Linked DNA regions of Kluyveromyces lactis. The protein of the gene in region 1 interacts with the protein of each later gene in a pairwise test. Links are inferred from orthologs where the notes say so. Each region holds a gene or a part of one and is shown in the gene's direction. Other genes may lie near its edges.

Evidence for each region. The genes of interacting proteins can lie anywhere in the genome.
Region 2: the proteins of SNF1 (region 1) and SIP4 interact in a two-hybrid assay, tested with the Saccharomyces cerevisiae proteins (3 studies listed by BioGRID). The link is inferred for Kluyveromyces lactis from reciprocal best matches to the Saccharomyces cerevisiae genes SNF1 and SIP4.

What each region holds. Positions count from the first base shown.
Region 1 is NC_006037.1:338,278-341,817, reverse strand, and holds SNF1 (AMP-activated serine/threonine-protein kinase catalytic subunit SNF1), read left to right. Parts: upstream 1-1,202; coding exon 1,203-3,011; downstream 3,012-3,540. UniProt on the Saccharomyces cerevisiae protein: Serine/threonine protein kinase essential for release from glucose repression.
Region 2 is NC_006042.1:1,328,179-1,331,742, forward strand, and holds SIP4 (Sip4p), read left to right. Parts: upstream 1-746; coding exon 747-2,900; downstream 2,901-3,564. Other genes in the region: NTR2 (Ntr2p), read left to right, coding at 3,229-3,564.

The sequences.
Region 1 (3,540 bases):
ATCGTTCAAAGAGGATGTCATTGAATCAGCAACAAGTTATGTTGTCAGTTACTGCAAACGATTTACTGAAACTTCCGATATTCGCTCGCACAATAAACCAACTGAACCATTGAATATCAATCGTGTTAAGAAGCCAAAATTATTAAAAAACCTATCTGCATATCTGGATAGAAACATTTCAGAATTCCATTTTGCGCCTAAGGATGAGTGGCAGATATACTTGGGGGAACCATTGGAGAAAGAGAAGGATTTTTTGAGCTATTGGCTTGAAAACCAATCAAGATTTCCTGCATTGTGCAGTCTGGCTCTTGCCTTTTACCACACTAAGCTCTCAACTGCTGACGTCGAAAGGAGCTTCTCAATCAGTAAGCGTGTTTTAGATGATAGATTTTCTCTTGCTAGTTCCAATTTAAAAAGCACAATGATAGTAAGGAATCGCTTGATGTGTTTCAATTTGGGCTCAAAGATGCCTGTGACTGAACATATTGCAACGGACTCTTGGACGGATGACGAGGACGATATGGAGCATTCAAATTTTAGCCAACAATCATTCTACGATCCTGCCGCAGTCATCGATATTTACTCCAGTGACAGTAGTGATTGAAACTAATACATAGATAGCAGAATTTTGGAATCACCAGTTTATAATGAGGAAAATACGATATTAACGTTATTCCTAATTATAAAAGAGTAATTGGGGAAGATTAAAGATGTAATATATACATCTTGGTTCGTATATAATAGCCACTTATCGAGTGGTGATGTACTTTAATGTAGTGTCATAGCATATTGACGTAGTGAAGAATGGATTCGTGAATTGTCTGAATCCTCTCGTAAAACGTGACAGGATTGGTGACTGAAAATGGTCAATTCGCCGGACTCGTCCCAGTACGGTCTCCTACATAAGGTATCAGTCATCATCAACGATTTCTACGCCGTTTACATTTTGATGATAAAATTGAAAACTTGTCATATACGGAACATCAACAATAAAAGAAGGATCAATGCGTAATTGTAGGGCGGATAGAATTGGGTTTTGTGAGACTCCAGAAACGTCACACTAGTATAAGAATTGCAAGTTTTCTAACAAGTTAGTCAACTTCTCAATTAGAAGCAACTATTCTCAGAGTAAACAAGATATCCCTCTGTTGAACGCAAACTCTTAGTGAAGCATTTACGAGTACATACTCATCAGAGAAGATATGTCGCACGACCCAAATCAACAACAGCCGCATGGTGGCTCAGGTCAAGGCCATCACCAACGCCAGCTGACTAACCACGCACAAGGCCAACATATCGGTAAGTATCAAATCATCAAGACCTTGGGTGAAGGATCATTTGGTAAAGTGAAACTGGCGTACCATATCTCTACGGGACAAAAAGTGGCATTAAAAATCATCAATAAGAAGGTTCTAGCCAAGAGTGATATGCAAGGTAGAATCGAGAGAGAGATTTCGTACTTACGTTTGTTGAGACATCCACACATTATCAAATTGTATGACGTGATCAAATCGAAGGACGAAATTATCATGGTGATTGAGTATGCTGGTAATGAATTATTTGATTATATTGTCCAAAGAGACAAGATGCCTGAACAAGAAGCAAGAAGATTTTTCCAACAGATTATTAGCGCAGTAGATTATTGTCACCGTCATAAAATTGTGCATAGAGATTTGAAACCAGAGAATTTACTATTAGACGAACATTTGAACGTTAAGATTGCTGATTTTGGTTTATCTAATATAATGACAGATGGTAACTTTTTGAAGACTTCATGTGGTTCTCCAAATTATGCGGCCCCAGAAGTCATCAGCGGTAAACTATATGCAGGTCCAGAGGTTGACGTTTGGTCTTCAGGGGTTATCTTATACGTCATGTTGTGTCGTAGGTTACCATTCGATGACGAAAGTATCCCAGTGTTGTTTAAGAACATTAGCAATGGTGTTTACACCATACCTAACTTCCTTTCCCAAGGTGCTGCGAGCTTAATCAAAAAGATGCTCATCGTCAATCCAGTTAATAGAATTACCGTGCATGAAATCATGCAGGATGAATGGTTCAAAGTTGATTTACCCGACTACCTAGTTCCTGCTGAAAGCACCCATCAAGAAAACTCTGAAAGCAAAACAGAAGATGGCGGCCCATCCGTGCCACTCGAACTGATCGATGATTCGTTAGTTCAAACGCTATCAAACACTATGGGTTATGACGTAGATGAGATATATGAGGCTTTAGAGTCCGATGAAGATCATCCATCTTTAAATGAAATCAGGGATGCCTATCAGTTAATTAAAGAGAACAGAAATTTAATCAACGACATCAAGGTGAACAAGCAACAATCTAATGACTTGGATACTTTCTTATCGCAATCTCCACCCACTTTCGAACAATCCTTGCATGCCCCCCCGGGCTCAAAAAATCGACACTCACACCGCCATTCAAAGAGAACACAGCAACGTACATATCAATATCATTATGGAAATGGTTCTCAGGATGGAGACAGCACGATTGCAATTTTACCTAGCTCGTTACCACAGATCCATAGAGCCAACATGGTAGCACAAGGGTCCCAGGCTGCTGCTAAGATTTCACCATTAAGCGTGAAAAAATCAAAAACAAGGTGGCATTTCGGTATACGATCAAGATCCTATCCATTAGACGTTATGGGAGAAATATACATTGCATTGAAAAACTTGGGAGCCGAATGGGCGAAACCATCAGAAGAGGACCTATGGACTATTAGAGTCCGTTGGAGATATAATATCGATATGCCTGATGACGAAATGAAGAACAAGCAGATTCCAGATTTAATGAAGATGGTAATCCAATTGTTCCAAATTGAGACAAATAACTACTTAGTGGATTTCAAATTTGATGGCTGGGAGTCCAGTAACGGTGTAGTGTATTCAAGTCGGAACGACGATGAAATGAGTACGTTCAGTGCATACCCCTTTCTACATTTAGCAACCAGGCTGATTATGGAACTTGCAGTGAATAGCCAAGGAAGTTGATTTTAAGGTTCATGAAATTAAAAAAATACTAACGGATAATATCCAACGAAGAGTGTATATAAGTTTGAATATTTGCTTAAAGTTTAAGCCTTATATACATATCATTAAATAATGACAATCACTATATTATATGAGAAATTACTCTTAGCTCACAACACTCGCCGGGAAGAAGAGGAAAACAACATACATGTTTTTGACACATGAAAAAAGAATGCATCGGCCGGGAATCGAACCCGGGGCCCAACGATGGCAACGTTGGATTTTACCACTAAACCACCGATGCTACTTTGTTGTAGTTTTCGTAAGATAGACTGAAGACAGGCCAGACGAAGGGTCATGTGAGCTAGCCAGCACACGGCAGAGTTCCAAGACGTCAGTGACTGGGCATATGGATCCTGTGGTATCCAGAAGGGAAGGCCTAGATGGATCAAAGAGGGTCACGTGACAATATTTAGTGAAATTGGAATAGGCAGAAGCTGCGCATGACGAGTGGCTCATGAGACTATCAGTTACCATGAAAAAGTCCGAC
Region 2 (3,564 bases), on another chromosome or scaffold:
CGGCGCCCCCCCCGTCGAGTCATCATCCTTGTCAGCAACCGTCCAGCTGACTCATATATCTGTCACATGTGAAATTGCAAGAAGCAGGCAAACATCGCCACCCATACACCATTCGGACTTGTGACTTCTCCCCGTTAGCCTTTCATCCGGACAAATCCTTTCAGGTCCTTACTCTCCCTACGATAAACCGATATAACTGCACAAATTTTTTTGCTGACTACACGGAAAACCGCGCCTAGAACCGCTTTTTTTGTCCCCAAAACTTCCTTTCCCCAGATCCGGCTGAAAGGGACAATTGCAAAACTGGAATTACACACTACTAACGCATATTAATTAGCCCTCTTATATAGTCTATAGCATACCGAATACTGAATAATATGTCCAACGTCACTTGTGGAAATGTCACAAATGTCAGTTTCTGGGATCCATCAATTAAGGGAAATTCTTCAAACGTCCCAGCTATCTCGGTTATCTCATTGGTTTATTCTCTTGGCTTGTTAAAAGGTAGTTTCTTCTTGCCTTAGTTTCTTGAATTAGATTTCTCGAGGGTTTTTATAGCCAAATATTATTATTATTATTCATGATTCTGAATCAGATATATAAGACAAACGGACCTGGGGAAACGTTCTGCCATATAACCATGAACCGGAAGGTTTATGGTAGGTATCAGATGTTTTTTTTTCTGTTTGGAACGTAAGCTTGCTATAAGCTTCCTGTAGTAGCGCCAAGTATATGTATATATCACTATGCCAAGTGTTTCGCAGGATGATGTAAAGGGCGTGCTTGCTGGTAAGATGTCTACTGGTAATAGCAGTGATGACAGTAGCAGTCAGTCAGGTAAGAAGCGTAAATATGGGAAAGTCGACAAACACAATGAGAAGAAATTGTTGATGCCTACGGCATCAACAAAAGTGAAACGGTTTTCACAGGCATGTGATAGATGTAGGCTTAAGAAGATTAAATGTGACGGTATCAAGCCTAGTTGTTCCAATTGTAAGAAGATAGGGTACCATTGTTCGACTAGTGATAAGCTTACAAGACGCGGGTTCCCTAGGGGTTACACGGAGATGTTGGAGAACGAGGTGATTAAGTTGCAGCGGCTTTGTGGGATGGTGGACGAGAACGGTGAGACCGTGATTGATGGTGCAGTAGCTGCCGTGGCAGCTACTGCACAGACGGGTGTTATTCCTGCTGGCCAGGAATTCCTTAACTCTGTGGGGGAAATGGGAACAAAGTCTTCTGTTTCGGTTCCTCCAGCGGCATCGGCAGCGCCAGTACCGGCCCAGGCCCCTGCGTCCACGTTCCTACCCTTTATCAATGATACTTTCCATAAATTCCCAAACTATATCCATGACCAAGTGTATCTAGGTAATTTCACCTGGAATTCGATCGTCAACCATAATAAATCTCAGTTGAAGTCTTTCCAGTATACAAGGTCTATCGTACAGGACCCGGTTCTATCGTACCTTAACCGACATTTCCCACTTTCACCGAGCGGTGTACCGATTAATATCCCCTTATCTGCTGAGGATGTAATACGATTAATTGATAAGTACTTGAACTCGAACCAAATCTTCCCATATCTCTTGGGGACGTCATGGCACCAACGAATGATCTCGGTACTAACCGGGACTTCGACTGTCTCTGACCCTGCGGTGTCCATTGTACTAATACTTATAGTACAGTTCGAGTTGAATTGTTTCAATAACGAGACGATTTTCCAGGCGGTTAAACTTTTGGGTTCCTTGTCGCAGGACAAATTATCATCGATTCAACTGATGAATTTCGGAATACGGTATTTCATGTCCCAGGAGAACCCATACTCTGTCATTTGGACTAACGATTTGATTAATTTCAACCAGTATATGATCATCAATTCAGCTTTGTTCTTGAATTACAACAATCTTGTTGGACATGAAAACTCAACGTCAAAGGTTATTAGGCTTCTCACGTTTTATCAATTCCAAGTGTTCCAGATCTGGTGGTGTTTCATCAACGGATTACCTAAGACTAATTTCTTAATCGATGAATTCCATCCACCAACCATTTCAGAGTTCCCACCTCATTTGAAGATGTTCCAACTCATTTATGATTTCATATTGCAATTGGATGGTTGTCACCTTCAATTATTAGCTAATGAGACTAACAATAAATATCAGCTGTTGATAGAATCCTTCGGTTACAAATTAATTTACCAATGGAAACTTTATCACCATTTACAAGACCATGATTTCAAACAAATTCAATTGGAAAACAACGACTTACTTGAAATCGGTATCACTTTGGTATACCTCGTATGCCGATATTTACAACAACCGAATTCCGTGGAACTATCTTATGAAATCATATCACTTTATTGGTTAATCCTATCCGATAATTCAAACGTGAAACCAATAAATTCGAGAATCTTGAAGACTGTTCAGTTTATGCCTTTGAACAATAAACAATTGATAGAGAACTGTTTGTTGAACTTATTGAATGAACCAAAGGAAACGTTCAACTGGTACAAATACAAGAAGTTGTTGAAACGATGGGTCACCATTTGGATGGATGATAACGACATTTTCTCAAGGTTAATCTCTCACTACCAACTCTCCATCGGCATGTCAGATATTTCACCAACCATTTCGAATTTCAAACCAATGGGGATGGTACCTGATACCGTTAACGACACAACTAATTTATTCAAGATATATGACGATGCCAATGATAACATAATTGATGACGAAGGCTACGAAGAAGATAACGAAAGTGACTACAACGAATTGATAATATTGCCCAAGAGGCGAAGCATGGGTCACCATCCATCTGCAAGAGCGTCCAGCATCCATAAAGCCGGAGATCGAACTGATTTTTCACTTTTCAACAATAAGATCGACCACATCATAATCAAGGAGTAGCTACTCAAATCAAACAGAAAAATTCAGACAGAAGAATCAACATCCGCAATATCCATAACTATTTATTACTGATTACTACTAAGTGTCATCTCCTCTTCAGTCCTTTCATGATAATTATTACTATATTTATTCTGTTCACTAGACACTATTCTTTACTTCTCCCATTAAATATACTTATAATGTTTTATCAGTTAATATTCATATATACCATTAAAATACAAGGTGAAAAGCATAACAAAGGGAATAGAAAAAGAGACAGAACAATACATAACAAGACAGAGAGGTATATAGAGATTATTTCCGTTCCACCCAATACTGCTGTCTCATCATGGTAAAGATCAAGTTGCCTGATTTAGAGAGCGATGAAGACGTAGATCTGATAGGAACCTCGATCAACAAAGCTGCAACATCAATCTCTGACGAAGAGACCGAGGAGCAGCTGGCCAAACCGTTAAAGTTCAAGTTGAAAAGAAACAAACAGGTACCACTAGTAGAGGAATATACCAATGATGATGATTACTCCACGTTGTTTGAGCAACCCGCCGGAACAAAACCCCGTAATACAAAGGAAACGATTAACGTATTGAATTTAGAAGATTTAGAAGGTTCAGAGGAAGAACAAAATGAACCACCTAAGTACACCAAGAAAGTACAAAACCGCAGC